Linked DNA regions of Macaca fascicularis. Each later gene encodes a partner of the first gene's protein in a complex. Links are inferred from orthologs where the notes say so. Each region holds a gene or a part of one and is shown in the gene's direction. Other genes may lie near its edges.

The links.
Region 2: RBX1 (region 1) and CUL3 share a complex: the UniProt entries of both Homo sapiens proteins name them as parts of the BCR(ARMC5) E3 ubiquitin ligase complex. The link is inferred for Macaca fascicularis from reciprocal best matches to the Homo sapiens genes RBX1 and CUL3.
Region 3: RBX1 (region 1) and KBTBD4 share a complex: the UniProt entries of both Homo sapiens proteins name them as parts of the BCR(KBTBD4) E3 ubiquitin ligase complex. The link is inferred for Macaca fascicularis from reciprocal best matches to the Homo sapiens genes RBX1 and KBTBD4.
Region 4: RBX1 (region 1) and KLHL22 share a complex: the UniProt entries of both Homo sapiens proteins name them as parts of the BCR(KLHL22) E3 ubiquitin ligase complex. The link is inferred for Macaca fascicularis from reciprocal best matches to the Homo sapiens genes RBX1 and KLHL22.
Region 5: RBX1 (region 1) and DYRK2 share a complex: the UniProt entries of both Homo sapiens proteins name them as parts of the E3 ligase complex. The link is inferred for Macaca fascicularis from reciprocal best matches to the Homo sapiens genes RBX1 and DYRK2.

What each region holds. Positions count from the first base shown.
Region 1 is NC_088384.1:10,677,853-10,684,127, reverse strand, and holds the start of RBX1 (E3 ubiquitin-protein ligase RBX1), read left to right. Parts: upstream 1-1,989; 5' UTR 1,990-2,014; coding exon 2,015-2,092; intron 2,093-4,211; coding exon 4,212-4,290; intron 4,291-6,275. UniProt on the Homo sapiens protein: E3 ubiquitin ligase component of multiple cullin-RING-based E3 ubiquitin-protein ligase (CRLs) complexes which mediate the ubiquitination and subsequent proteasomal degradation of target proteins, including proteins involved in cell cycle progression, signal transduction, transcription and transcription-coupled nucleotide excision repair.
Region 2 is NC_088386.1:120,455,733-120,461,347, reverse strand, and holds part of CUL3 (cullin-3), read left to right. Parts: intron 1-3,770; coding exon 3,771-3,916; intron 3,917-4,606; coding exon 4,607-4,783; intron 4,784-5,615. UniProt on the Homo sapiens protein: Core component of multiple cullin-RING-based BCR (BTB-CUL3-RBX1) E3 ubiquitin-protein ligase complexes which mediate the ubiquitination and subsequent proteasomal degradation of target proteins.
Region 3 is NC_088388.1:18,260,053-18,266,202, forward strand, and holds the start of KBTBD4 (kelch repeat and BTB domain-containing protein 4), read left to right. Parts: upstream 1-2,388; 5' UTR 2,389-2,521; coding exon 2,522-3,185; intron 3,186-4,004; exon of another isoform or gene 4,005-4,121; intron 4,122-4,598; coding exon 4,599-4,705; intron 4,706-6,150. Other genes in the region: NDUFS3 (NADH dehydrogenase [ubiquinone] iron-sulfur protein 3, mitochondrial), read right to left, coding at 53-150, 1,276-1,341, 1,451-1,517. UniProt on the Homo sapiens protein: Substrate-specific adapter of a BCR (BTB-CUL3-RBX1) E3 ubiquitin ligase complex which targets CoREST corepressor complex components RCOR1, KDM1A/LSD1 and HDAC2 for proteasomal degradation.
Region 4 is NC_088384.1:32,301,160-32,307,425, forward strand, and holds the start of KLHL22 (kelch-like protein 22), read left to right. Parts: upstream 1-2,139; 5' UTR 2,140-2,220; intron 2,221-3,110; exon of another isoform or gene 3,111-3,238; intron 3,239-3,325; exon of another isoform or gene 3,326-3,371; intron 3,372-6,266. UniProt on the Homo sapiens protein: Substrate-specific adapter of a BCR (BTB-CUL3-RBX1) E3 ubiquitin ligase complex required for chromosome alignment and localization of PLK1 at kinetochores.
Region 5 is NC_088385.1:74,404,076-74,410,377, forward strand, and holds the start of DYRK2 (dual specificity tyrosine-phosphorylation-regulated kinase 2), read left to right. Parts: upstream 1-2,063; 5' UTR 2,064-2,454; coding exon 2,455-2,503; intron 2,504-3,120; coding exon 3,121-3,269; intron 3,270-3,298; exon of another isoform or gene 3,299-4,130; intron 4,131-6,302. UniProt on the Homo sapiens protein: Serine/threonine-protein kinase involved in the regulation of the mitotic cell cycle, cell proliferation, apoptosis, organization of the cytoskeleton and neurite outgrowth. Functions in part via its role in ubiquitin-dependent proteasomal protein degradation.

The sequences.
Region 1 (6,275 bases):
CAACAGAAATTTTAACATAAAGTCATTACAACTTGGGCTAAAAAAAACTTTGTAGGGTTCTTGTAGCCCTTTAAGGTCTGTCTCACACAATTTTTCTTTCCAAGTCTGGATAAAGCTGTGGTGGTGTTTTCCCGGATCTGTTGTGCCTGTTTATGACTAACAAATAAACAAATGGCAATTCTTTCTCTTTTATTATTATTTTTTTGGGAACGGAGTCTCACTCTGTCACCCAAGCTGGAGTACAGTGGCTCGATCTCAGCTCACTGTCACCTCCGCCTCCCGGGTTCAAGAGATTCTCCTGCCTCAGCCTCCCGAGTAGCTGGGACTACAGGCGCGTGCCACCACGCCCAGCTAATTTTTGTATTTTTAGTAGAGATGCAGTTTCGCCATGTTGGCCAGGCTGGTCTCGAACTTCCGACCTCAGGTGATCGACCCGCCTCGGCCTTCCAAAATGCTGGGATTACAGGCGTGAGCCACCGCGCCTGGCCAATTCTTTCTCTTTAGCAATAGTGTCAGCACACTCCATTACTCTCCAGTTATCTTTTAAGAGAAAATAAAAGGCTTCAAATCACCTGTACCAGATCTAAGAGTGCTCTGGCGGAGTCATACCTCTGCAAGGTTAGAGATGTCAAAGGGAGTCCTGGTCTAGCGAGAAATGGGAGAGTGACACAAAGTACAGGTGCTTGGGTCGGGCGCGGTGGCGCACTCCTGTGATCCTAGCACTTTGGGAGGTCGAAGTGGGAGGATCGCTTGAGCCGAGGAGTTCGAGACCAGCCTGGGAAACAGAGTGAGACCTTGTCTCTATTTAAAACAAAAAAAAATCGGCTCTAGCCTGTAATTCCAGCACTTTGGGAGGCCGAGGCAGGCGGATCACCTGAGGTCAGGAGTTCGAGACCGGCCTGGCCAACATGGTAAAAACCCGTTTCTACTAAAAATACAAAAGAGCCGGGCGTGGTGGCGGACACCTGTAATCCCAGCTACTAGGGAGGCTGAGGCAGGAGAATCGCTTGGACCCGGGAGGTGGAGGTTGCAGTGAGCCGAAATCGCGCCAGTGCACTCCAGCCTGGGCAGCAAGAGCGAAACTCCGTCTCAGAAAAACACCCCAAAAAGTCAGAATGCTTCACAAAAATTAAAGAAATACAGCGACTGCAGATGGGTCGGTTTCACTATAGCACAAGTAGCGGAAAGAGGACACAGACTGGGGAGAAATCACCCTACACAAGATGACAACTGAGGAATGAGGAGTGGGGACTGACACACGCCACGGTGAAACCGCGCACCACGACCAAAGGCGGTCCTAGGACTGCGACTAAGCGGGCGCAGAGGCCACCCTCCAGGCTTGGCGGGGGGATGAGGGCAGCACTGGGGGCCTGCTCAGTCTGGCCTTAGGGAGGACCTTCGGGGCTCTCCTCTCTCCCCATCGATCCCTGAGCAGTTCCCGAACAGAAATCGGAGACCAGACGGTGCCTGGGCCCCAGCCCTCCCACGCGGACTGCGCCTTGGGCCTGGCTCGGAGGTGGGTCAGAGTCTGCGAAAGACCAGCGAGGGCTCTCAGGTTTCGGGGCAGGCGGCGGGCGCCCACCCCGGCTAGCAATGGGAGTCGCGCGGCGACCGGGCGAGCCCGGTAGGCAGGACAGGACTGCGGCGCAGGTCCGACTCAGGCGGAGGAAGCAGCCGCCGCCCCAGCTGATGGAGTGCGGCCGGGGGCTTCCCAGAGGAGGCGGCGACCTCGAGCCCTTTCGAACGTTTCTACCAGGCTAGCTCACGTAGCCTCGGCCCCGCCCGGCCCCGCCCCACCCACTCCGGCCACCGCCCCCTCCCCGGCCGACACTTCGCGGGTGGGGCGACCTGCGATAGCCCCTTTAAGAGGCGTGGTCACGTGCTCCGCCCCCACCTCCCCCACGCGCGCCAGTAAGGGGTGGGGTGCGGGAGGAGGTGCCGGGGAGGCTGGGGGAACGAGGTGTGCGCTGCTGCGCAGGCGCGGTGGTCGGACGACAGACCGTGTGTTTCCAAAATGGCGGCAGCGATGGATGTGGATACCCCGAGCGGCACCAACAGCGGCGCGGGCAAGAAGCGCTTTGAAGTGAAAAAGGTTGGGTCTCGCCAGCGCCTTCCTCAGGGAAGCTAGAGAGGCGCGGATCTGGCTGGCAGGCCCGAGGATGGTCGAGGCGCGGAGTAAAGGGTTTCATTTTAGGGCGTTCCTGGGACCGGGTACCACGAAAGGAAGTCGGGGGGCGGGCCTTAGAGTTGATCGGCGTGACGGCGGCCCACTGTCAGGGGAAGTGTTGGTTTCGATGTGAGGCTGAGGGGCCAATCACAGAGCTGCTTGTTGAGATACGCGGGGTTGCGACTTGGCGGCGGGAGCCAAGCGCCTGAGCTGTCACTGGAGTGGTTGAGAGGTGGGGGAAGGTAGGGTGGGGTGGGGTGGGGTGGGGTGGGGTGGGGTGGGGTGGGTGGAATGGGGAGTCAGAGCGACTGCGGCGGTGGAGGATGGGGCAGTGCGGCGAAAGCCTGGAACCTGAGGTCCTACCGCATTGGAGGCCTCTGAGGAGCCCCGCTAGTGATCTTGCTCCGCCCCTTTTTGAAGCTTGCTTGGGGTCCTCTCACTTGAAGGGATCAGACTTGTTCCTCGCTGAACCGAGGCCTCCATTAACCCCATCTCTGGGCCTCACACCGCCGAGTTAGAGTCTGGAGTGTAATGCTTGGGTGTTCTGAGACGTCTGTTGGCTTTTCCCACAACCACCCCACTCTTGGATTCTCTGTCACGTTCAGAATCTCCCCCTTCCGAAATAATAATAAAAAGCACGGTGGAACTTGTTAAGAAAATCCGAGCCCAAATCCTGTGGCATTTCGGGAGGGTTGAGTAGTAGTTGCGAATGACTTGGTAAGAGGGGAAAGCAAAAATGGAACGTGTCTTTTGCATGAAATGCATTTTAGTGGTTTGCCACAGTTTGGGAGAAAAGTGTCGATTCCCACCTAACATGAAAACTATTCGAAATGGAGATTCTGAAATAGGGAAGATATTCCTGGAACATCTGGCTAAACACTGACAATATCCCCCCCTCCTAGTGCTTTTTGGTGTCTCATTGTGGCCACTGCTGCTCAGTTACAGCCAGCCATATTGAAGAATAATAGAAGTAGGGGCTTTTCCTCCAAGTTGAAGCTGTGATGTGAAAAGTGGTGAAGAAGTTACTAGGCACTGAGACTGGGGTTTGAAAGCGATGAAGGTTTGGGAGTACTTGTAATTGAGGAAACCAGAGTTGAATGAATGAAATGCCACTTTTAGTTAAACTCTTACTGGAATTATTATCTTAATAGAAGAGTCTAAACATATAAAAGTTCAGAACATCAGTTTATTTTATGGTAAGAATCGAACAAAATTCTAGTGAATTGTAGAATTTGTTATGAAGTAATCTAAGATTTAAGTGATGACCTTGTTCTGTGTACTGACATGGGCAGTTAATTATCCAGCTTATCCCACGATTACCCGTTTTATGATCCAGTCATCATCTTAGTTCATTCTGTTCCCTAGCTTTCACTTCATTGCTCATGCTTCCAAAGCTGCCTGGAAGAGCAGATACTTATTCAGATTTTGAGCGCTTCTGCAACTGCCACCAAAACCTGCACAGAAATTCAAGTTTGTGCTTTTTTTTTTTTTTTTTTTTTAGATGGAGTCTCACTCCATCGCCCAGGCTGGAGTGCAGTGGCACGATCTCGGCTCACTGCAACCTCTGTCCCCCAGATTCAAGCGATTCTCCTGCCTTAGCTTCCCAAATAGCTGGCATTATAGACACCCGCCACCAAGCCTGGCTAATTTTTGTATTTGTAGTAAAGACGGGGTTTCGCCATATTGGCCAGGCTGGTCTCGAACTCCTGACTTCAGGTGATCCACCCGCCTCAGCCTTCCAAAGTGCTAGGATTATGGGCGTGAGCCACTGCGTCCGGCCAGACTAAATTGTTTTAAACTACAGGAAACAAATTAAAAGATGACATTAATTTATGTGTTCATATACTCAGTCTTTTGGAGAATAGGAGAATGTATGTGTTGTCTACTGTTGTCTTTGGTATAATAAGATTAACATAATATCCAAAAACTTTTGTTTGGTGGTTCCCTGTGGCCAGAGATCATAACTACAACTGCAGCCTGAAGTCCTAAAAACTGTGTGTGTGTTATAAGGAGAATGCATTGTTCCCTCTTTTTGTCTTTGCAGTGGAATGCAGTAGCCCTCTGGGCCTGGGATATTGTGGTTGATAACTGTGCCATCTGCAGGAACCACATTATGGATCTTTGTAAGTAATTGGAGGAGGATGGGAGGAAGTTGAGAAGGTTGCAGAGCTTGTGGCTATCTTGATGTGACCGATTTTCTTCTTCACAAGCAGATATCAAGCCTACTCTGAGCACTCGGTCTTCTGTATCTAGTCTTTTGGTGTGTTTGAAATAGAGTAGTTTTTTTATGATGTCCTGGAGGCATACCCAGCTTTCAGAATAAATCTACTCAATCTAAAGATGGCAGGGACACATTTAGAATTAATTGTGGACAACAGGCACTGTTGATTCTTCCTGCATATCTCCCATCTTGTACCTAGACTCAAAGGTAGAAATACTGAAAGGAGGAAAATAAACTTTGAGCTAAAATATTCTATCTGAGGCGAGGCGTGGTGGCTCATGCTTGTAATCCCAGCACTTTGGGAGGCCAAGGCGGGCAACATGGTGAAACCCCGACTCTATTAAAAATGCAAAAATACTCTATTAAAAATGCAGAAATTAGCCGGGCGTGGTGGTGCATGCCTGTAAACCCAGCACTTTGGGAGGCTGAGGCGGGTGGATTATTTGAGGCCAGGAGTTCAAGACCAGCCTGACCAGCATGGTGAAACCCCGTCTCTACCAAAAATACAAAAATTACCTGGGCGTGGTGGTGCATGTCTGTAATCCCAGCTACTTGAGAGGCTGAGGCAGGACAGCTGTTTGAACCTGGTAGGTGGAGGTGGCAGTAAGCTGAGATCACACCACTGCACTACAACCTGGGCGACAGAGCAAGACTCACAGTCTTTTTTTGAGACTCAGGGTCTCAAGAAAAAAAAAAAAAAAAGTTTTTGAGACTCAGAGTCTCAAAAAAAAAAAAAATGTCTATCTGAGCTAATTTTTGCTGGTCATTGTTTACAAAGGAAAGAAGCCTAAGGAGTAAGTATTTTGTATGTTAGGCCCAAACATAATAAAAAGGAAATCATTGCCAACATCTAAATAGGTAATTGATTGCACTAAAGAAATTTCATTTAAATCTCCACATATTTTATTACATGTAGTGGTCAGCACATAGTGATCCGATTATAGTCTTTGATGGACTGATTTCCTGTCCTTATAGTAGAAGGAACAAGAATGTTGATCACACCAGGAACAGTAGAGGTTACTTTTTCATCCGGGAACTAAAATGATTTGTTACTGAGGCCAGAAATGGAGGAAAGAAACTTCAAGTTTCTAGAATTGGAATTATAGGAACTTACTTTTCAGATCACTCACCTGCCTTTACAACTTCATCTTGAGTCACTCCTGCTCACTCTGTTAGTTTACCTGGACACTTTTTTTTTTTTAAACTAACTATGGTGGCCAAAGCAGCCATGGCCCCTGGCCAGTTTTCCTTTTTTTTTTTTTTTCTTATTTTGAGATGTAGTCGCCCAGGCTGGAGTGCAGTGGCGTGATCTCAGCTCACTGCAACCTCTGCCCCCTGGTTTCAAGCAATTCTCCTGCCTCAGCCTCCTCAATAGCTGGGATTACAGGCGCCTGCCACCACGCCCAGCTAATTTTTGTATTTTTAGTAGAGACAGGGCTTCACTATGTTGGCCAGGCTGGTCTCAAACACCTGACCTCAGGTGATCTGCCCACCTCGGCCTCCCAAAGTGCTGGGATTAAAAGCATGAGCCACCGCTCCCGGCCTGCTTTTTCATTCTTAAGTGTCCATGCTCTTTTTCAGAGCCCTTACATAGCCTATTCTTTCTCACCTAGAATATTCTTCACCTGTTCTCTTCCTTGGTTTTGTCTAACCCAGCACTGTCCAATCTGAATGTAAGCCACAAATACAAACACATACATAATTTTAAATTTTCTTTTTCCTCTTTTTTTGTTTTTTCAGAGACAGGATCTCGCTTTGTTGCCCAGGCTGGTCTCGAACTGGCTTCAAGTGATCCTCCCACTTTGGCCTTCCAAAATATATAGGCGTGAGCCACTGTGGCTGGCCTGAAATTTTCTAGTACCCACATTCATAAAGTAAAAAGAAAAT
Region 2 (5,615 bases), on another chromosome or scaffold:
TTCCCTGGGGTAAAAAAAAAATTGTGACAAGTATCCTAGAAGAAATTACAAGTTAAAAGAACAATAACCATATCTTCTATTCTTAGTTTCTGATGCTTTGATTTAAAACTTTGCCTTTATCAGTGATATGGTATTAGAAAATAAAAAAACATGGTCCCTTGTTCTCCTGCTTCGTAGATGAAATCTGAGCGATATTTTATCCACTTCTTTTTAGTAAAAGAAATACGTATTGCCTCTTGGGGTCATGAGCTATGTAGGGAATGAAAAAAAGTTTTTTAACAGAGAATTATGAAGAGCAGGAGGATACAAGAGAAGGGAAAAAGAAAGCTGGTGGGAAGTTGAGCCACGTTTCTCTCTAGTGGAATCCTTACCTTGTGTTTTAAAATTGTTAAATTTTTGTATATATGATAAATCCCTGAAAAGTGATATATAATTTAAAAAAAAAAAAAAAAACTAGAGAGACTTCCTTTTTAAAAGACTATTCTGTTAAACCTTTTTTTGTAAAAGCAAAAAAAAAAAAAAAAAAAAAACAAGTCATCTAGTATGTTTGCCGTGTTTGCTAAAATTAAGGTCTAAGTCTGGGGTTGGCAAGCCTTTTTTGTTCTTGTTGAATAAAATGGCTTGTGAGCCATGCAGTCATAGTGAGAAAATAGTCATAGACAATAACAAATGAATAAGCCTGTGTTTCTATAAGACTTTATTTATGGGCCCTGAAACTTAAATTTCATATAATTTTTATGCGTCACTAAATAGTATCCTTTACAGTTTTTCCTCAGCGATTAAAAATGTGAAAACCATCCTTAGTTCATGAGCTGTATGTACATAAATAGGTGGCAGGCTTATTTGCCCCACGGGTTCTAATTTGATGACCCTTCTCTAAATGGTCTCTGGTAGACTAGGACTTCATGCAAAGCATTTGCCCTGCTTAAACAAAATGAGTATCGATAAATTATGTAATGTACTGTTTAGGTATTGAGTGAATGCTTTCTTACCTACCTTAGGGGCATGTAGGGAGGGATGATTAAATGGGCTGGAGATGAGGGGCTAGGAAATGTTTGATGGAGAGGTTGTTGGGCATACCTGAATTACAGCATCTCTGTAACTTGTGTGGAGATATATGTAAAAGGTGTCAGGTGTGCCTATCATTGCAGGCACTTAACGTGAATGAAGGAATATCATAATAGTACTCACCAGAGTTCTCCTTTATTTAGTACCTTAGGTTTCCAACAACACAGTAGCTATCTGTGATTCTAAATTAAATTTTAAAATCCTGTTTTTGTCCGGGCAGTGTGGCAAACGCCTGTAATCTCAGTACTTTTGGGAGGCTGAAGTGGGTGGATCGCTTGAGCTCAGGAGTTCAAATTGGTGATACCCTGTCTCTATGAAAAACACAAAAATTAGCTGGGCGTGATGGCACATGCCTATAGTTCCAGCCACTTGGGAGGCTGAGGTGAGAGGATCATTTGAATCCGGCCAGGGAGGTCAAGGCTGCAGTGAGCCAAGATCATGCCACTGCACTCCAGCCTGGGTTGCAGAGGGAGATGCTGTCTTAAGAAAAAAAGGGGGAACTGTTGTCTTTAATTTTTCTGAGCTTCCACTAGAAACCTAGTGGCAAAAGATCTTAATTGTGATAGACCCCGCTCTTGGAAAAAAGTTGCTCTTGTTGAGAACATATCAGAGGCAACTTCACCATTATGAAGCCAAATTCTCATAAATCAGAAAACGAAAAACAGTTTTCTCACTGTGAATGGAGGATAAATTGGATTGTTATTAGATGCAGATAGCGTTATGAAATTAAGTTCAAATGGTATCTTTTTTTTTGAGATGGAGTCTTGCTCTGTCACCCAGGCTGGACTGCAGTGGCGCGATCTCAGCTCATTGCAAGCTCTGCCTCCCGGGTTCATGCCATTTTCCTGCCTCAGCCTCCCGAGTAGCTGGTACTGCAAGCGCCTGCCACCACGCCCGGCTAATTTTTTGTATTTTTAGTAGAGATGGGGTTTCACCGTGTTAGCCAGGATGCTCTCCATCTCCTGACTTCATATCCACCCGTCTCGGCCTCCCAAAATGCTGGGATTACAGGCGTGAGCCACCGTGCCCAGCTGGTATCTTAACTATTTTATTAAGTGTATATAGAAATAATGATATTTAATTTTTGAATGCCAGATTGCCATTTACTCTTTTACATTCTCTTTACCCTGACATTTAAATACAATGAAATTGTAGTAATTTATGTCAACTAAATACACAACGTGTAATATCTAAGCCACACTTACAACAAAGGAATGAAATAGACATTTTGTTAGAGGTATTTGGTGTGCCACGTTTACTGTAGTATGTGTCCATACATTGTTGTTGCATTTGTAATACCTGTTTTAAACATGGGAAACTTGGTTGTAATTTATGCTAAGCATGTGAGAAGCTATAAAATTGCCATGTGTAGGTTACTATGGGCGTATATTATTAATGGAAACTAATAAATTTGCTGCCGAAAGTCACTGAAATAAAGATTAGTAAAACTTTGTCAGACTTGCTTCGAAATATTTTTAAAATACATACAAGTTTAAGCTCTAAACTACTCTTAGAACTGTAGACCAAGGTAGGCAAATTAGGGCCTGTCCACCAAATCTGATGCACTACCAGTTTGGTTTTTTTTTTAAAAAAAAAAATCTAGTATTTAATTACACATGAAAATTTATATAAATTTTCAATACCCATAAAATTTTATTTGAAACATAGTCACACTCATTAATTTATGTATTGTCTGTGGCTCCTTTCTTGCTATAGTGTCAGAGTAGAGTAGTTAAGTCAGAGATCTATGGCTCACATTTAGAAATATTTATTATCTGATGCTTTACAGAAAAAACATTGGTCAGCCTCTGATCTAGAAACTCTAACTCCATTTTAAAAAGTTATTGATTGTAAAACTTTTAAAATTATCATTGTAAAGTTCTGACACTGTGTTCTTCCAGTAAGTTGTTATTATAAAGAAACACTAGACATATGGGAAAACTGTATTTTAAAATCTATATTTTAGTCTTGTGAAAAATGATATTGAAAAATGGATAGGATCCAGAGTTTTCATTCTAAATTTAAAAAGTGTAGTGAGAGGGACCAAATTTTGAAGTACAGATACTGGCTTAGGATGCCACCTGGGAAACATTAGGGATTGCTCTGAAGAAAATATTTAAGAAGTGGTGTTTATATTATACATTTCATAAAAACTTTACCTGAGGTGTAATGAAGTAAATCTTAGTATAGTTCATTTGATTTGTTTTCATGATTATCAGTTAAACCTTTGGAAATACCCACAAGACTTAAATTGGTTTTAAAATTTCTTCCTCATTACAGGGACTATCAATTATATCTTACTTAGTGACTCTTTTTGTAGATGTTTTGTAGTGTCATTAGGTCTGCATTAGAGTTATGTAGGATAAAGTATTTATGAACTCAAAACTGCAGTTGCCATGTTTTTGTGACATTGTTTGTTACGGGTTTTGGCATCTCTTCTTCCATGTAAATTTAAATTTGCTAGGACATTTAATTGATACTTTCAAAGCATCTCGTCTAAAAGTTGTGTTTTATAAATTACAGTAATAACCATTAACTAGCCTACTTTTTCATGTTTTCATTTTGATACATGTATATTTTTAATAGTCATGCGGTCAGTAAATGGGGGTAATGGAGAAATAAGCTTCTCTAAGTATTATAGCGTGAACACAGATTCGTGTTTTTTTCTTTAATGTAGCGAATTTGTGTTTTCTGATTTGTAGATCTTGGTTGCATGTACAAGTTATTTAGTCGTGTGCCAAATGGTTTGAAAACAATGTGTGAGTGTATGAGTTCCTATTTGAGGGAGCAAGGTAAAGCTCTTGTTTCTGAAGAAGGAGAAGGAAAGAATCCCGTTGACTATATCCAGGTAAGTAAACCCAGAAGATGCTCTACATTTATAATAAAGGCAATTTGACAAGTGCTAAAACGTATTTTCAACTTAATTGTCCCAGTCGTAAATTAATAGTTGTAATTATCCTAAGTATTTTAGGATTTTGCAAGGTGCGCATATTTATATCAGGGAGCTAAAATTCAACTGCTACTTTTCATTTAACTTCTCTGATGAAGATCTTGTTTAAATAGTCTCAATAGCGAATGTGAGGTTCTTTGGTATGCCTTAGTGTTTCTATACTGTAGTATATTGGAATAAACAACTGTTTATTTTTTGTTTGAAAACGTTTTGTTTTCAAGCAGTACTGTGAATAAATTATATGCCGTGTTTTTGTGTTTTAATATAATCAGCTTTTTTGGTACATTTTTTAAGCTAATTTTTTCCCTGGCTAACCCATTCCATGAAGACAGGAGAATGAGAAGCAGTGAGGAGGTTCTTTGGTTCGTTTGCATTGTGTTAATACATATATGGAAGTTATAATACCTCTCTCATTGACATTTTTAATAGAGGCTTAGATATAGGCTTAAATAATATCAAAGCTGTAAGTTTAAAAATGAATATACATGTTTATTACCAGCAAAGTTAAGATAAACATACATGGTCATACGTGTATTATTTATGGAAAAATTATTATAATGTGTCCTAAATTTTGTTTTTATTTCTAAGGGTTTATTGGATCTGAAGAGTAGGTTCGATCGCTTCCTCCTGGAATCATTCAACAATGACCGGCTCTTTAAACAAACTATTGCGGGTGACTTTGAGTATTTTCTCAACCTCAACTCCAGGTCTCCTGAATACCTCTCATTATTTATTGATGATAAGCTGAAAAAGGGAGTCAAAGGGGTAAGTAGTAATGCATTTGAAAATAATATTTAATTTTATTTAAAGATACAAAATTATATGTAAAATTAGGACATTTCACAGATAAAAATTAAGCATGACCCATTGCTGTGCTTAAATGTGTGCCATGGTGTATTAAAAAATAGTTTGAAATACTTGACATGCTCAAAAGTAGTTAGACATTTCACTTAATGTGTAATTGGCTTCAAAAACAAGCAACTGGATGGGCTTGGTGGCTCATGCCTGTAATCCCAGCATTTGGGGAGGCCAAGACAGGAGGCTATCTTGAGGCCAGGAGTTTGAAATTAGCCTTGTTAACATAGTGAGACTCCATCTCTACAAAAAAGAAAAAAATTAGTGGCACATAGTGGTATACACCTGTTGTCTCAGAGGCTGAGACAGAGGATCACTTGAGCTCAAGAATTCAAGGCTGCAGTGAGGTATGATCGCACGACTGCACTCCACCCTGGGCAACAGAGCAAGACCTTGTCTCAAAAAAACTGAACAGCCGTCCAGGTGTGGTGGCTCATGCCTGTAATCCCAGCACTTTGTGAGGCCAAGGTGGGCAGATCACCTGAGTTTGGGAGTTCGAGACCAGCCTGACCAACTTGGTGAAACCCCGTCTCTACTAAAAATACAAAATTAGCTGGGCATGCCTGTAATCCCAGGTACTCGGGAGGCTGAGGCTGCAATGAGCCGAGATGGCGCCATTGCACTCCAGCCTAGACAACAATAGTGAAACTCCGTCTCAAAAAAAAAAAAAACCCTGAACAACTACACAGCTGTAGTTGGTTTTAAACAGTCATTTTTGTGACTGAGAGTTAGGCATGTTGAA
Region 3 (6,150 bases), on another chromosome or scaffold:
GAGAACATGGTTCTTTCTTGGCCCAGACCCAAATAACAGTGGTACGTATTACCTGAACTTGTTGGACATACTTGGGCAAGATTTCAGCCACATACTCTCCAAAAGCTGAGAGCTGCTTGTGGGCCACATCATTCCGTGGTCTGACAGTGGCTGGAAGGAAAAAGCATATTTAACAAAGAAATGGAGAAGGCAAAAGCCAGCCCTGTATCCAGTCTCTTGGGCTTGTAAGGGATGTCAAATCCAGTAAAGGCTCCCTGCAGCACCCTGAGAAAGGGGCATGTGAAAGGTTTCCCTTCCAGGGAATAGAGTGATGAAAACTTGGGGAAAGTGCCACCTTAAGTACACAGTCCTCAGAAAGACTCAATACAGCAGCTGGGGTGTTCACCTCTTCTCAAAATTACTCTACAGTTCTTCCCTCACATTACCTGCATTTCTGCTAAAGCAGTAGTCTCAGTTCTCCTGTCAGACTAAGAGCTGTTTGAGGATGGGAACCAGAACTTTTGCTTCTCTGTAACTTCTTAGCATGTAAGTTTATACCAGGTTCTCAAGATAAGAACTTCAGGGCTTGAGGAGCCCTCACAGACTGTCTCCTTGAAACCTACTTTTTTTTTTTTTTTTTGTATCAATGAGAAAACTGAGGCCAAGAAAAGGGGAAATGCTAGGTCTCCTAACTCCCAGTGCGTGCATCTTGACTGTAACATATGTACATACTCATTCATGCAACCCTAAACCACTGAGCACTCACACATCACAAGCTACGGAATGATGGTTAGGTTTTCCTGCCTCTGGCAGCAGGCAGGCCTACTTTGTCATTCACTAGGTCTCTGACCCTGGGCAGTTTAATTCTTTGGATTGTTTCCTGATCTATAGTAAGAAGAGTAAGATACTACCTACCCCATAAGGCTGTTGTGAGGACGAAATAAGATCATTCACTAAAACGCTTAGCGAGGTGCCAGGCACACATTAAGCACTCAACGTGAGGTACTATTATTACAGGGCTCTAAGGACTAAAGGGCACATTGCTTGCTTTCGAAGAGCTGAGAGTTTAATCAGACAAAAAGGGGACCATTGAAACGGACAAGGGACAATCAGGGCCATAACAGAGAGGCCTAAGGGTACAGGGAGGGCTCGATTCTGCACGCAGGGTGAAGACCACCGCAGTCAGGTCTCCAAGATTTGCCAGGAAGACGCAGGGAAGGGCATCCTAGGGCAAGGACAGGCACCTAGGGGGCCCCGCCGACAGTTCAGGGAAGAGCGCTGCCAGCACATACTCACGGCGCGTGTCGGCCCCGGCGCTCTCCCGCCTCACCGGCAGCAACAGAACTGAGGGTCGCCCAGCCCCTGCACAGGGAGATAAAAGGCACAGACGCGCGGGGTGAGGCCTGAAGAGCTCTCTGCACTGGGCACGCCGCTGCGCCTGACCCCGGTCTCAGCTAGCTGCCCCTCTCACCCCTCGTCAGCGCCGCGGCCCCCACGATTCCACGCCACCACAGCCTAGCTGTCGCTGCCGCCGCCATGTTACCCAGACACAGACTAGGCAGCGGACGGAAAGACAGCAGGAGACGGAGCCCCAAGGGCACGGACCGGAAGCGGAAGTGTGCAGCAGATCTTCTTCCGGGCGGACGTGGAGCCTGAAGCAGAGGTTCCGGGCTCCGGGATGAAAGGAGGGAACGCAGGTGAGAAAGCGAGACAGGCAGGTAGGGAAACCGTAAGGTGAGCGTGGTCCTAGCTCCGTGTGGCAAAGCCTGGAGAGAAGGCGAGGACGCTGAAGAACCAGACGGGTGAGAGGAGGGGAGGGGGCGGGCGTTCTGGGTTCTGCACTACACACCCCTCCCCCGCTCTCAGCCAAGCTTTTGACGAGGGCGGGCGAGCCTGAGTGGGAAGAACGGTTTCCCTGGCGACGGTTTCCCAGGCGACTTCAGGTGGAGCGGGGATATTGCACAGGGCGATGGGCCTCCCAGTGCCCCGGCCTGAGGGCGGCTGGACTTGAGTTCTGGGACGCAGCCTTAGGGAGTCTTTCGAGCGAGCGGGGAAAGTAGCTCAGAAGAGAGCAAATGTGAGACTGACGTATATCCCAGGCTAGGCCTCATATGGAGCGTCTTAACTCCATGCGCGGGGAAGGAGAGGACCTGGCCACTAGGCCAGGGCGGGGGGTCCTTTTTGTCTGACTCTGCTGCCCCGAACTTCACTAGTTTTATGCCCCAGTTATTTGGTTAGTAAGGCTTTTACGGTCACAGGCCTCCCCCAGCCCTTTGCTTTCATATATTGACCTAAATCCCAAGTCTTTTGTTAATATCATGGAACGGAATTATTCCGTGTTTTCTCAGGAAAACACCCAGAGTTGGAACTTTGATTTATTTCATTAGCGGAGTGGTGCCACTGGGGAGAACGAACCCAGGTTTGGTTAAAGGATAGCGTCAGGGACATCATGGACAGGACCAGGACTAAGGCCAATCTGGACCCACTTTGCTGTCACTTCTTCCATTTCCCTCCCTGAGTTGGACAGTTGGATTCACAGATTATGGCTGTGAATTCCGCAAGTTACTCAAGGTGGTGTTGCTTTGCAGACAGCTGGCAGAGAGAGAAGTTGGCTAGCATGGAATCACCAGAGGAGCCTGGAGCATCCATGGATGAGAACTACTTTGTGAACTATACTTTCAAAGATCGGTCACACTCAGGCCGTGTGGCTCAAGGCATCATGAAACTGTGTCTAGAGGAGGAGCTCTTTGCTGATGTCACCATTTCGGTGGAAGGCCGGGAGTTTCAGCTCCATCGGCTGGTCCTCTCAGCTCAGAGCTGCTTCTTCCGATCCATGTTCACTTCTAACCTGAAGGAGGCCCACAACCGGGTGATTGTGCTGCAGGATGTCAGTGAGTCTGTTTTCCAGCTCCTGGTTGATTATATCTACCATGGGACTGTGAAACTTCGAGCTGAGGAGTTGCAGGAAATTTATGAGGTGTCAGACATGTATCAGTTGACATCTCTCTTTGAGGAATGCTCTCGGTTTTTGGCCCGCACAGTGCAAGTGGGAAACTGCCTTCAGGTGATGTGGCTGGCAGATCGGCACAGTGATCCTGAGCTCTATACTGCTGCCAAACACTGTGCCAAGACCCACCTGGCCCAGCTGCAGAATACAGAGGAATTTCTCCACTTGCCTCACCACCTACTCACAGATATCATCTCGGGTAAGTTTAGGGAGGGGACACAGCATACGAAGTTACTTGGCTGTGATGTTCAGTGAATGTTCTAGTTTAGGAGAAAGGAACCCTCATGCTTCCTGGTGTTAATTTACATTATTATTCCTGCATTCTTACTGAGATAACCTGCTAAGAAAGATTGAGTTGAGATTCAGTGTAATTGCTGTCAGAGACACAGTGTGTTAGAGGAAGAAGCCAGGAAAATTAAAGCACAACACTTAACCACACAAAAGTACTGAGGAGTGATTTGTATTATACTCTAATTTCTCCTGTACTTTGGATGTCCCGGTGGGTCTAATTACCTATGTAAATTGGTGATGAGGTAAGATATCTAAGACTAAAAACTTTTTTAGTGATGGGCCAACGTCAGGAAACAATCCTAACCCTGCAAGTGAGATATAACCATACTTAAGGTGTGAGGTTGGCTAGGCACGGTGGCTCACGCCTGTAATCCCAACACTTTGGGAGGCCGAGGTGGGCGGATCACCTGAGGTCAGGAGTTCGAGACCACCCTGGCCAACATAGTGAAATCCCGTCTCCACAAAAAAATACAAAAATTAGCTGGATGTGGTGGTGGGCACCTGTAGTCTCAGCTAATTGGGAAGGCTGAGGCAGGAGAATCACTTGAACCCGGAGGCAGAGGTTGCAGTAAGCCAAGATCATGCCACTGCACTTCAGCTTGGGCAACAGAGCAAGACTCCATCTCAAAAAAAAAAAAATAGTGTGAGCTCTATAGCTTAGTAGGTTGCTTCCGTGGCAGATGGGAGCATATCGAGCCATCCATTTTGATTTAAAAAAGCAAGGCACATATTCTGGTTTTTCTTCAGATTGTCTAAATATTTTGCCTTTTACTAAAGATTTCCATGGAGAGGAACAGTTGTGAGTCTTTACCCAACTTTTTGAGGCCTCATGTAACACGAGACTACTTTAAAAAAAAAAGCAAGGCATGCCAGGCATGATGGCTCATGCCTGTAATCCCAGCATTTTGGGAGGCCAAGGAGGGAGGATCGCTTGATGCCAGGAATTTGAGACCAGCGTGGACAACATAGCGAGACCTTGTCTATACAGAAAATAAGAAAATTAGCCAGGCGTGGTGGTGCACACCTGTAGTCCCAGCTACTTGGGAGGCTGTAGCAGGATTGCTGGAGCCCAGGAGGTTGAGGCTACGGTGATGGTGATTGTGCCATTGCATTCCTGCCTGAGCGACAGGGTGAGACCCTGCCCCCCACCCAAAAAAAAGGCAATTTCAGGTTAATTTCATGTATATGTGTATGTATGCATGGACATATATACACATGCCCAGCAGTAGTCTAATAAAGCAGTTCACATCTTTTAAAGTCCCTTACTCTGAATTTCTCTTTCGGATCGTCATTGACCATGCCTTTCCTCTGGCTCTCACAGATGGAGTTCCATGTTCTCAGAACCCAACAGAGGCAATAGAAGCCTGGATTAACTTTAATAAAGAGGAAAGAGAGGCTTTTGCAGAGTCACTCAGGACAAGCTTGAAGGTAAGGCAAATCTCTTAATTGTTGAGACTGCACACTCTCCATGCATTCTCACCATCAGGTAACCTGGCCTCTTTTTTTTTTTTTTAAGACGATTTTTGCTTTGTCACCCAGGCTGGAGTGCAGTGGCGCAATCTCAGCTCACTGCAACCTCCACTTCCCAGTTTCAGGCGATTCTCCTGCCTCAGCCTCCCAAGTAGCTGGGATTACAGGTGCTGCCACCACGCCTGACTAATTTGTGTATTTTTTAGTAGAGATGGGGTTTCACCACATTGGCCAGGCTGGTCTGGAACTCCTGACCTCAGATGGCCCGCCTGCCTCTGCCTCCCAAAGTGCTGGGATTACAGGTGTGAGCCACTGTGCCTGGCCTAACCTGGCCTCTTTGTGTGTATGTATGTGTGTCTGTGTGAGAGAGAGAGATGGAGTTTCGCTCTTGTCACCCAGGCTAGAGTGCGATGGTGCGATCTCGGCTCACTGCAACCTCCGCCTCCTGGGTTCAAGTGATTTTTCTGCGTCAGCCTCCCAAGTAGCTGGGATTTCAGACGCCCACCACCACACCCAGCTAATTTTTGTATTTTTAATAGAGACGGGTTTCACCATGTTGGCCAAGCTGGTCTCATTCCTGACCTCAGGCGATCCGCCCGCCTCGGCCTCCCAAAGTGTTGGGATTACAGGCGTGAGCCAATGCGCCTGACCTAACCTGGTCTCTTTTTGATGGCCAGGTTATGAATGGTCATCTGTTTTTGTTTTTGCTTTTTTTTTCTTTTTTTTTTTGAGACAGAGTCTCACTCTGTTGCCCAGGCTGGAGTGTAATGGCATGATCTCAGCTCACTGCAACCTCCACCTCTCGGGTTCAAGCAATTCTGTCTAAGCCTCCCGAATAGCTGGGAATACAGGCGCATACCACCACGCCCAGCTAATTTTTGTATTTTTAGTGGAGACAGGGTTTCACCATATTGGTCAGGCTGGTCTCGAACTCTTGAGCTTAGATGATCTGCCCACCTCAGCCTCCCAAAGTGCTGGGATTACAGGTGTGAGCAACCGCGCCTGGCCATCTCTGTTTTTTTAATTTTTTATATTTATTTATTATTTTTTTGAATAAGTCATCTCTGGCTTGAAGTTGATGTAAGCTGGGGAGAAGGATGTCTTTGTAACCCCAGAACCACCAATCTATGAGCTCTCAAAGTTCCTTGAGAACTACTTTCATCAAGTTAACAATCTTAATCACCCTTTGTCCAAAGCACCAGTTTATGAGAGTTTTAAAAGTTACAAGGGTGAATACAAGATTCTCCTCCCGGCATAAATTGCCTCAAAGAAAGTGACTAGAGGACAGTTGGATGCCATGCAGTAATTAGAGAGTAGTATGTTAAAGCTAGGTACAGGTGTAAAGTCCGGGATCTTAAGGATATGTGTCTTAGCAGAGCCTTAGCCTAGAACTTAACAGCTGT
Region 4 (6,266 bases), about 22 Mb from region 1:
TGAGGTAGCTGTGCCTGGGAGGAAAGGATCAGTAACAAACGGTTACCCCTAAAACAAATTTAAGCAAGAGTCACAATGCGGATACAATATTTTCTTCTGCTAATTTGAATTTGGAAAGGAAGGGACAAGAAGTTTTTGCCTTCTACTCTCAGCTGAGTACTACAGGCAGCGATCTGGGAGTCGACCTTGGTAAGAATGCTTACCTTTTGCCAGTTGTCCCAAGTGGGGTGTCTTTGCCACCTCATTTGTTTGCTGGGTGCCAGAAAGAGTAGGGGGAAAGGAAATATTTTTTCCTCACCTATCACAAGGTTCCTGGTTGACACCCCTCTAACAAAGGACAGATTAACAAGAGAAAAGCATATCAATTTATTCAATATAAATTTTATATGACACAGTAGTCTTCAGAAAAAAGCCCCAGTGTCCAGTGAGGGGTACATTCTCTGCCTTTTTTTTTTTTTTTTTTTTTTGAGACGGAGTCTCACTCTGTTGCCCAGGCTGGAGTGCAGTGGTGTGATCTCGGCTCACTGTAAGCTCTGCCTCCCAGGTTCATGCCATTCTCCTACCTCAGCCTCCTGAGTAGCTGGGACTAGAGGTGCCCACCACCATGCCTGGCTAATTTTTTGTATTTTTAGTAGAGCCGGGTTTCATCGTGTTAGCCAGAATGGTCTCGATCTCCTGACCTTGTGATCCGCCCGCCTCGGCTTCCCAAAGTGCTGGGATTACAGGCGTGAGCCACCGCGCCCAGCCAATTCTCTGCCTTGAAGATGGTGCTTATTACAGCGTCCTCACCTGGCAAAAGTAGGGGATGAACTCCCTCAAACCTCTTTTATACGCTGATCCCATGGTGACTTCACCCTCATGACCTAAACCCCTCCCAAAGGCCCTACTTTATAATAGTATCACACTGAGGATTCAGTTCCAACATAGGAATTTTGGGGGTACCAACATTCAGACCACAGTGGCCTCCTTGTCGCTGCCCCAGGACTCCTTTTCCTCTCCTCTCTGGGTCCACCCTTACACCTGGTCCCATTGGGCCTTGGAGATCAGTCTTCCCCTACCTGAGGCCAAGCTGGGCCTCATCTTCCCCCAAACCTGCTCTTGCTCTGGCTCCCGTGTAGCCAGGGTGGGCCTACTTCCCCACCCATCTCCTGGGCTCAATCTTTACACATCACTGGATTTATACTGGGGAAGCTGCTTCCTTCCCGGGTTTCTAGCCTGCTCCACTCTCGTCTTCACTCTCTGCCTGTCTGAGACCAGGCACTATGGCTGGCTCCCTACTTAGTCTTCCTCTCCACCAGGTTGGCATCTGCCCACCCTGGCTAAAGGGTGCCCTCAGGGCTAAGTCTAGCCTCCAGAGGGCAGGGTCTGCTCTCCAACCTTCCCTTCAGGCTCAGAAATCCACTGGAATTATGAAAATTCCAGGAGGTATCCTGGAAACCTCCATACCACTCACTTTGAAGGATCTCACCTCCACGCGTTTGCTGACACTGTCCCCTTCATGGAATGCTTTTCTTACTCCCAAAGTCCTCGTCTGTTACACGTAGGGGGTTCTCCTCCAGAAAGCCTTTCTAGGAGGAAGCCCACTCGCATTTGGAACCTCTGCCTCTGGAGGCCAATCCTGTTCACCTGATCCTTGTCTGGGACCCTCAGTTATTTCTCTGGACTCAGCCAGGACAGCAATTCTCTTTCATCTATTTTCTTCCTTTTACATTCCCCTTCCACCTTTTTTTTTTTTTTTTTTTTTTTTTTTTTTTTTTTTTTTGAGACGGAGTCTCGCTCTGTCACCAGAGCGATCTCGGCTCACTGCAACCTCCACCTCCCGGGTTCAAGCGATTCTCCTGCCTCAGGCTTCCGAGTAGCTGGGAATACAGGTGCGCGCCACTATGACCGGCTAGTTTTTGTGTGTGTGTTTTAGTAGAGATGGGGTTTCATCATGTTGGCCAGGATGGTCTTGATCTCCTGACCTCGTGATCCGCCTGTCTCAGCCTCCCAAAGTGTTGGGATTACACGCACGAGCCACCACGCCCGGCCCCACCTTTCTTTTTAACCATGAGCCATCTCCAGCCATATCCTCCCCGCACCACTTTCTCCACCCTTCACAGTCCCTCTCAAAACCACAGTGTGGGACACGCCAATCTTATTCCATCAGGAGGCTCTGTGGCTCCAAGCTCTGGGCGCAGCCGTTACGGATACGCCTTGGAGGATGGGATCCGCTTGGAGGTGAGGTGGAGAAAAATGAATGCCAAGAGCCGCGCACGGACCTCTGGGACCAGGCTTTAAGACTGGGAATCAGATTTACTGCAAAATATCAGTAAAGGAACGGGCACACAAACTAGCACCTGTTCACCCTGGCGGTGTTCGGCGATTCTCCCCGATATCCCGCAGGGGGCGCGCTACCTTCAGCGGCACGGACAGCGGTGGGAGCGGGGAAGGAGCAGGCGCGGGAGGGAGGGAATGAGTGCGTGACGAAGGGAACGAAAAAAGGAGGGGAGGGGGAAAGAAGGGAATCAAAGAGGGAGGGAGGCAATGGGAGGGGGTAGAGAAGGAGGGAGGAAAAGCAGGGGGAAGTGAGACAAGGAAGGAAGGAATGAGAGAGGGAGGGGAGAACGAGAGTGAAGGAGGGAGGGAAAGGAAATGAAAGAGGGAGGGGATGAGGGGGGAGAGAGGGAGGGAGTGAATGAGTGAGGGAGGATGGGAATGGGGGTTAAGACAGGGAGGGAGGTAACGAGAGAGAGGGGAGAATGAGAGTGAAGGAGGCAGGGAGGGAATGAGTGAAGGAAGAAGGGAATGATGGGTGAGACAGGGAGGGAGGGAATGGGGATGGAGGGGAGAATAAGAGAGTAAAGGAGGGAGGGAGAGAATGAGAGGGGGGAGTAAGAGAGGAAGGGAGGAGAGAACAGAGTGAAGAAGCGAATGATGAAAGGGGAGGGAGGATATGAGCGGGGAGGGAGATAGTGAGGAAGGGCAGGAGGGAGTGAGTCGAGGAATGAGGGCAGGACCGAGGCAAGGAAAAAGTCAATGGGTTCGGAAGGCGCGACCCTCGGCAAATTCACTCATTCGTTGATTCGGCCCCGCCAAGTGCCAGGTGCCGCGCTAGTGCGGGGACTCACTGAGCCTTGGCGGTCGCTGCTGTCCTCCGCAGAGCGCCGGAGGGGAGCCGCCCCCCGTCTCCCAGCCGCAGGGCCGCCCCGCGCTGCTACCCCGCCCGGCCAGGCACCCCTGGGCCCGCGTCCAACCCGCCCGGCGCCTGCGCGGCGCGCCCACGTGACGGCCGAGGGCCCCGCCCCGCCGGCGCCGCTGGCCCCGCCTCCGCCTCCCGCCTCCCGCCTCCCTCCTGCTGCGAGCGCGGCCTCGGCTGGCGGCGGCACCAGGTCAGCTGCGAGGCGTGGGCCGGGCGGGTCGCGCGGCGGCGAACGCGGGGGGCGGGCGGCAAGCAGGCATCGCTGGGCCGGGGGCAAGCTAGCAGCGCGGAATCCGAGGGGCGCGGGGGCGGGCGCGGGCCGGAGGCGCGGGGGCGGCGACCTGAGGAGAGCCCGCGGCCTGACGTGGCGGGGACGCGGCCGGCGGGATCCCGGGGCGCGTAGAGGCCGGGATCTGGCGCTCGGCCGGGGGCCAGGGTGCGAGGCCTCCTCAGCGCGGCTGCGGGCGGGCCCTGTTGCCTGCGGCGGGTCCGAGGGCGGCCTTCCTGGCGGCGACCCTCCGCGCTGAAGCGGGCGGCCTTGCAACAGGCGGGCGACTTGGGGCCGGCCTGACGAGCCTCAGTTCCCTCAGTCGGGCCCGGGGACTGCAGCCGTAGGAGCCCAGCCCCGCCAGCTCGCCGGGTTTCCTGAGAGGAGCCGGAGATCGCGCTGTCAGTGCAAAATCACCAGAGCGCGAAGCGTCGGCTGCCAGTTCTGACCATTTTAGATTCGCTGCGGGCGGAGCCGAGTGGATCTGGGGCGGGTAGCGGGGCACCGCCACCTTTCGCCTGGGCTCCTCCCTGGGCGCCCTTGCTCCGGCCCTCCGCGGGGCCGGGCCTGGGTGCGCCGAGTGCCTCCAAGTCGGCTCCCTGGGAGGTTCTTCCAGAGCGCACCCTTTGGAAGGCTCCCCCGCTGGGAATCAGGACCCACTCCCTCTCTACCCGAGCCGCCCCCTTTGCCTTTGTGGCCGACCTTGCTTCATGCTGCCAAGGATTGAGTTTCTTTGAGGGGATACTGCTCGTTCGGGGGGCCTACAGAGGACTGAGGATATCTACTCAGTAAAATGGTAGCGAATTGAAAGTTCCTCTAAAATGATTTTGACTCTGCCATCCATTACTTCATAAAAATTCGTCTTATATCCTTCAGTTTGTACCTATGTGGCACATTAAACTTCCTTTCTGCTCCCCACTAAAACTTCGAACAGCACAAAACAGAGGGAACTTGGCTTGTGATGACTAGAATTGGGGATATGAGACTGGCGAAGAGCTTCAGGCTACAGTAGCCATGTGTCAAATGAAAATGGGGCCTGGGGGCGGGCGCAGTGGCTCTTGCTTGTAATCCTAGCACTTTGGGAGGCCAGGGTGGGTGGAAAACTTGAGGGCAGGAGTTAAAGAGTCCAGCCTGGCCAACACGGTGAAACCCCGTCTCTACTGAAAATACAAAAATTAGCTGGGTGTGGTGGCGCGCGCCTGTAATCCCAGCTATTCGGGAGGCTGAGGTAGGAGAATCGCTTGAACCCAGGAGATGAAGGTTGCAGTGAGCCAAGAACCTACCACTGTGCTCCAGCCTACACCATGTAGTGAAACCCCTTCTCTACAAAGAAAATTTGAAAAATTAGCCGGGCGCAGTGGTGAGCTCCTGTTGTTCCAGCTACTGAGGAAGCTGAGATGGGAGGACCACTTGAACCTGGGAGCTTGAGGCTGCAGTGAACCTCAAGCTGTCTCACCCCAGATAGCCAGGACTACAGGTGTACGCCACTATGGCTTGTTAGTTTTTAAATTTTTTGTAGAGAAAGGGTCGTGCTATATTGCCCAGGGTGGTCTTGAACTCCACCTACCTGGACCTCCCAAGGCACTGGGATTACAGGCATGAGCCACCATGCCCAGCCTACTTTGCACTTTTTTTTTTTTGAGACAAAGTCTCGCTGTTGCCCAGGCTGGAGTGCAATGGTGCAATCTTGGCTCACTGCAACCTCTGCCTCCTGGGTTCAATCGATTCTCCTGCCTCAGCTTCCCCTTTCCTCAGCCTTTCGAGTAGCTGGGATAACAGGTGTGTGCCACCACACTCCGCTAATTTTTGTATTTTTAGTAGAGATGGGGTTTCACCATGTTGGCCAGGCTGGTCTTGAACTCTTGACCTCAGGTGATCCTCCCACCTTGGCCTCCCAAAGTGCTGGGATTACAGGCAGGAGCCACTGTGCCCAGCCTACTTTGCACATTGGTTTTTTTTGTTGTTGTTTGTTTTTTGTTTTTAAAACGGAGTCTCACACTGTCACGCAGATTGGAGTGCAGTCGCGTGACTCTCCTGCCTCAGCCTCCCTAGTAATTGGGATTACAGGTGCCTGCCACCATGCCTGGCTAATTTTTTGTATTTTTAGTAGAGATGGGGTTTCACTATGTTAACCAGGCTGGTCTTGAACTCCTGACCTCGTGATCCGCCCGCCTCAGCCTCCCAAAGTGCTGGGATTACAGGCGTGAGCCACTGCGCCTGGCCACTTTGCATATTTTGACTGTTGCCTAAGGTTCTGTCAAATCACTGTGCCATGACATCTGTTCTCCTGAGGGTAGACGTTTTGGTGATTTAAAACCGTATAGATGTGGTTTTAAATGTTGCACTCTGTGCTGTGCTCCTTTGCAGCAGAGAATTGATTCATTTTTCGGCACATCCCCCTTAGCCCCTAGCTACGTTTCTTAAATTGTACTTGGTAAATGTACTTTGCCTGCCCATGGAAGATGTCTTTCTATTTTACCGTACTTGTTCTTGCAGTAGGTGTTTAGGGAGTAGCTGCCGTTTATCCCTTCCCAAGACAGCAGAGGCGCTACTGTGCTCATAGAAGGTGGGGATCCACCTAGGGGCTTGATGTCTGTTGGGGTAGTCAGTTGTGGAGGTCACCCTCAGAGAAGGAGGCCCTCTTGACTCTGTGGTGGTCATGGTGGTGATGAGGAAGCTGAGGCATGGATATATGAGACAAGTGCCCAGAGTCTATCATTAGCAAGTGGTGCAGCCAGCCATAGGGGCTTTTGAGATGGTTGTGAGATAAAGCCTCACCCCTTAAGAGGCCGGAATCTCCTTGTGGTGGGTAAATAG
Region 5 (6,302 bases), on another chromosome or scaffold:
AATTGTAAACTATGGCTTCCAGTAACTAGCATTTATTTTATTCATGAGAAAACAGTGGCATATTTAGCTTCTACTGAAGTATTGTACGAATAACTTAAGCAAAAAGGGCTGTCGGATTATATTAAAATTGATATTTTTGCTTCTTTTTTTTATTTGAACATCAGTTGTATACTCATTTTAAAAAGGAAAATGGTATAAAATAAGTGTTTTGAAAGGAGAAGAAAAGAGGTGTGAGCTTTCTTGAAAGTGTAAGGAAAGTAGTGTGATGGAAATCAGTGAAATCAGACTGGGAGTCAGAAAACCGGTTCTAGTGTCATCTCTGCTACTGAGTAGCCCTTGCCTTTTAGTCGATTCTAAACATTAAATATGCTTCCGCATGTAGATTTAAATGTGATAGTCGCTAGTGACAAGCATAGGGGGATATTTCTTGCAAGGGTCAGTTCAGGTCATGATTCATCTAAAGGCATATCATTGGATTATTTTACTGTGGTCTACTTTATTAGGAGAAGGCCCCAAAGGGTTTTGTTTTGTTTTTTTGGAGGGACGTGATACTAGGCAAAATTCTTTTTGTCACAGTTTCCCTCTCCCAGTGTCCCTAACTTGGAGGCCTCTTTAGGAGTCCCAGAGACTCTGAGAGGTCACACTGTACCTTGAAACACAGTTTTTGGCGTTTGTATAAAGCTGCGGGTGCGCTCTGTGGGAGGTTGCTATGACAATTTGCAAACAGTAGAGGCGATGAAACTCCGCAGGAGGTGACTCCCTTCCGACTGGAGTCTGCACTAGTTCGGGCCTGCACAGTAGGTCCAGCCAGGGGCCAGAGATAATCGGGCGGGGCAGAGCGTAATGGACCCCTGACCCCAAGAGAACTTCAGAAACTAGGCACCTCTCGAGAAGGAAGTGCATGGCATAACTCTGCCCCGTCATTCGGAATTTGTCGGGCTTTTCCACCCCACCTGCTCTCACGGCTGAAGTGGCAACACCTGTGACCTTTGGACAGAGGCGCACCGTGTGCCACGCACGACGAGGCGTGGGTGTGAGACGGGAAAGCAATTTTTTTTTTTTTGGTCTTCAAGGAAAAGAGAGGTTGTAGATGGCGAATAAAAAAGGCAGGGAAATTCTCTAAGTTTCTTGTAAAGGAAGGGGTTTATAAGAGATGCGTCGGGTTGGGGTGAGAGGAATTCGAGGTGTCGCTCCCTCACCGCAGAGCTCAAAGGAAGGTGTGTCTCTCCCAGTGGCCGCGCCAGGAAAAGGCTCGGAGTTGTAAGGAAATAGGAGGTGTCTCTGATGTTTATTTTTGCCTAGCAACCCACAGCCAACTGCTTCCCCAGCTGCCGTCCACACGCGCCTCTCTGCCTCCCCTTGTCCTAGCGACTGGCGAACGGTCACTTGGTGTCAGTAAACCGGGGAGGGTGTGTGTAGTGGAGGTGGGAGGGCAGCCCCCTCTCTCGCCCCTGCTCAGGGTCAACGAGCTCAGCGGCGGCCCCTCCCAGGACTTGACTCTCCGAGGTGACCCTCGCACAACTAAGTTATCTACATGAGGAATTGGGGAGAGGGGAGTGGCTAAGTCGCCGCGACTGAGAATGGGGGACCGGGGACGCAGTACTGTCTGTGAGCAGCCATTCAGTTCGAAGAGCTGAAAATGCATTTATGTTTAGGGGTGGGCATGGCAGGGGAGGGGTCTCTGCGACGCTTTCGGCCGGAGGGCAGCAGCGGTAGGTTGAGCTGTTAGGGCAGCGGAGGGGCTCCGAGGGGGCCGGAGAGGCCGGGGAGGGGAAAAGGTCGCCGGAGTGGAGCCGAGGGGAGCAGTGCAGATGGCCGGAGGGGGCGGAGGAGGGCGAGCGGAGCCCGCCGAATTTTCCGGGGAACGGAGGGGCGGCTGCGCGCGACCCGGGGAGAGGAGAGAGGCCAGGCGGGAGGCTGGGTGGGGGCCAGGGCCGGGGGAGCCGGGGGCGGGGCCTGCGGCGGCGGCGGAGGGCGGCGGAGGGCGGCGGAGGGCGGCGGAGGGCGGCGGGGGCGGGGCCGCGCGCCGGTGTCTGTGTGTGAGTGCGCGGGGCCGCGCGCGCGCGGGCCCGGGAGAGCCTCCCGAGCTAGGCGGTTCTCGGTCCTCGCGGCGCTTCTAGCTCCCCGCGCCCCTATGTGAGGGAGACGGGGAGGCCCGCGGCGCGCAGGGGAGGGCGAGGCATGTGCACGGGCCGGAGGGTGCTGCAGCCGCCCGAGGAAGAGGAGGACGGCGGCGAGGAGGAGAGCGGGGGGCTCGCGGCGGCGGGCCCGGGCCGAGGGGATGCAGTGGACTGTGTGTGTCTGGCTGTAGCAGACGCGAGGCGGCGACGAGGCGCCGGGGACCCGCGCGAGGGGCGGCCGGGAGGCGGCGGCGGCGGCGGCGGCCGCCAGAAGTAGCAGCAGGACCGGCGGCGGCGACGGCAGCCCTGAAATGCATTTTCCTCTCCAGCGGCCATGTTAACCAGGAAACCTTCGGCCGCCGCTCCCGCCGCCTTCCCGACCGGTAAGGAGGCCGTGCCCCCGCGCCGCCCCCCCCCCCCGGAACCCCGCCGACCCAGGGCAGCCCCCGTGGCGCGGGCGGCCGCTGCCTGCGGGACCTCGAACAAAGTCGGCGGCGCGGCGCGGGGGAGTCCCCGGGCGGACGGCGCGCTCCGGGCTCCGCGCAGGGTTGCGCGCGGCGCCGAAGGCCCCTCCGAGGGGAGTCCTCCGCCCGAAGAGGCTTCTGCCTGCCAGGGGCCCGGGCGGGGACCGTCCAGGCCTGCCGCCCCGCCCTTCTCTGCCCGGGGCTTGGCGTGGCCGTGGCGCCCTGCTCAGCTGTCCAAACCCACCTCCCGGCCGCTGGCAGTCTGCAATGTGGGCCGCCAAGCCCCGGCGTGGTCCGGCTTCCCCGCCGGGTCGCGAACTCGCGCGCCAGGGCCCGACTTAACTTTGCAGCTGCCTGCGCCCCGCCCGTGGGTGTGCGCTGGGGAGCCGTGACCCGAACGCTTGTTTGTACTGCCCCGGTCTCTTCCTCTGTCTTTCCCTGGGAGAGGGGTGTCGCTGCCCAGTGGGGTGGGGGGTAGTCTGGGTGACTTTCTCCCCCCTGACCCTCTTTTGTCTCCTCCCGCACGTGGCTTCCAGGCAGAGGTGGGGACAGCGCCGTTCGCCAGCTTCAGGCTTCCCCGGGGCTCGGTGCGGGGGCCACCCGGAGCGGAGTGGGGACCGGCCCGCCCTCCCCCATCGCCCTGCCGCCTCTCCGGGCCAGCAACGCTGCCGCCGCAGCCCACACGGTGAGACCCAGCCCGCGGGCGGCCCGGGCGGTGGGGGCGGGAGGGGCCCCAGGCAGAAGCACCCGGACTTGGAGGGTTCTGACGCCGGGAGAAGAGGGGTCGAGATACAAGAAGCCCCACGCCCCGGGCCCGTGGCCTCTCCTCGACGCCGCCCTCGTTAACTTGGGCGAGCCCAAAGCTGCAGCCACAAAGGAAGATTCGTGGCGTGGGCCCCTTACTTCCCCTCCGGAGCCCGCCCAGCCATGAGCTCCTCTTCCTAGGAACTTCCTCCTTGCTGCTTCCCTTCTTTCCTCATTTTTCGTCCTTGCATCCCAGAGCTCCCTTTCCCTGACCGGGTAAACATCTCTGTCCTTCCCCCACCTCCCCGTGGGTAGTGGGTATTTATAGAAACAGATATGTGTTAGGGGACAGCCAGACCGGCCTGCCTGGAAAATCGATCCCCCAAAGAGCCTCCCAGGCCTGGCTCCAGCCAGCAGGGAGCATCGCCAATTGTCCCCCGCGTGTGTAAGCATGTTTTATGAGTGCTACAGGTTTGAGCACAGCAGAAATTGTAATTAACATTAACAAAAATAAGAGCCGCCGCAGCAGTCAAAACAAGCCACCCCTGTAGGATTCTGCAGTTGGACGTTATTCAAAAGGAAAGGGCAAGCGTTGCTTTGGAGGTGGGAAGGAAAAAGCACCTAACAGGTGCTGTGGTCTCTCAGGGCCCAGAGGGAGGGGAGAGGCCAGCGTGGTACTGGTTGCTGGTGGCTGTGGAGACTGGCAAGCTGGATTCGACTTCAGCATGTACCTTTTCTCAGCTCCCAGGGATCACCCTTGGATGGTGATGGCCAGCCTGGAGGAGATCTGCACTTGGAGGAGGTGATGGTTTGGAGGTCTTTTTTTCCCGATTGGATTTTCCACAGGAACAGCCTAAGATGGTTCTGTGTGAGGGATGCTTGCCAGGAATTGGTTTTATTTGCCAAGCGAAAGTTGAGTTCTTGAAAAAAAGGCCATCCCCCGGCCTACAGGGGAGTAGCTCTGGGGACATATGGGGAAACTTGTTTGTCAGAGAACTGTGAGGGGATGTCTAGACCGTAGTTGCACCTGTTAGACCTGGAGAGACGTGTGCAAGTTTCGTAGGAAAATGTTTTGTTGCTGTTACACTCTTCCCCCTCCCTCTGTCTGTCTCTGTCCTGACACATCTGGTCCCAGGGGCTGGGAATTCATTGCACAGAAGTTAACTCATCTGTGTTGGACTGTGGATGGTAGTAGGACGGATGATTCTGTATATTACTGTTCAGTGTTCTTGTTGCAGTGAAAATTTAGGTAACGAACTGCCATTGATTTTAGGGGTTTAGATTTTTTGTTTGGGATCATCTGACAATTTGGAAAATGTAATATCCAGTTTTTTTTTTTTCTATGTGTTGATGTAATCACATGACATGGTGTGACCTGGAAAAAGAGCTATTTGGTTTGCATGTGGATTCCAATTTTGTAAGGATGGGCTTTGCTTGATCAAAGCCTCTTTGCCATTGAAATACATGTAATGAAAGTAGATAAAACGACAAGTCTCCACTGGAGGGAGAGCCTGTGGTGCACCAGAAAAGGAAGGATGTGAATGTGCTTCTCAGTACTCCTCATAATGGAGGCCTGTATTTTGCTGTGGCGTGTGCCAGATTTACTTGTTTTTAACGTGTGTGTAAACTTCGCTATGCTGTTAATTATTAGATGCTTGACTTTGAAGGTGTGAATTTGGGTTTCGATGGTGGTTTAGTTTTGATTTTATTTCTGTAACATCGCAGATTTCATAGTACAGGAAAGGTTAAAAGGACCACAGAGTTTATCTGTTTCTAGTCTTTCAATTTATAGATGAGGAAACAGACTCAGACAAGGTAACTGGTTTCATCAGGATTCCCCAGCCAGTTCATATCAAGGCCGGAGTGAAAGCCTACACCCTCCTGCATCTAGTTTTAATATGCTGATGGAGACTGCTAATTCTAGGAAATTGTACTAGCCTCATTATAAATGCAAGAACCTTTGTAGATCCATATTCTCATATGTCTGTCGGATTTTTATAAATTTTTAGTTATTATTTCCAGAGTAATTACACCTAGGAAGAACTTCTAGAATGAATGGGGGGTGGGGAGGGCATTAAGGAGATAAAAATGATCTTGTCATAGGAGCTTGCCCACATTTTCTCTTACAGGTGATACACTAGGCAGGTCAAATATATGATTATAAAGATTATAAGCTTTGGAATTTATCTAGTCCGTTGCCCTCTTGTTTTATATCTCCATGCATAAGTTGTTTTACACTTTAGTAATTTATTTCTGTTTGTGTGAGAGATAGAAGTGTGCCTGTTACTTCCTATTATTTTTCTATTAATGTTAATTGGCAGTTATTAATAGAAGTATTTTAAATTCAAAAATATTAAAATATGTGTAACTTTTATAACTGTTTTACTATGTAAAACACTCTCCAGTTAATCAGTTTTACAAAATAATTCGAATTAAAATACACATTTAAAAAATGGCAGTATTTTGAAGAAAAAGTAGACACTTTACTTAGGGCCACACAGACTGTCAGAATGTTTGAGGAGGAACTGAAATTCCAGTCTTTTTGGACTCAGTTCTATTACCATAATACTATACAGCATTTCTAAGATGACTTCAGAAAAGTTTTTAAACACCCAAAACTATTATCACAGTGAAATATCTGCTCTTTGCCATTTTCTTATTGGAAGAAATGAAAACTATGAAACTGGTTAGACTGTTGTTTTTATATAATATTTAATACCAAAGTACTTCATGATCAAAGAAGCCTTTGCAGGTCTCTCGATTTGAACCCGTAAACTGTAGCTGTTTTAACAATTGCATTCATTATGTTTTTTTTGTTTTTTGTTTTGCTTTGTTTTGTTTTTTTTTTGAGACGGAGTCTCACTCTATTGCCCAGGCTGGAGTGCAGTGGCTCCATCTCGGCTCCCTGCAACCTCCGCCTCCAGGGTTCCAGCGATTCTCTTGCCTTAGCCACCCAAGTAGCTGGGATTACAGG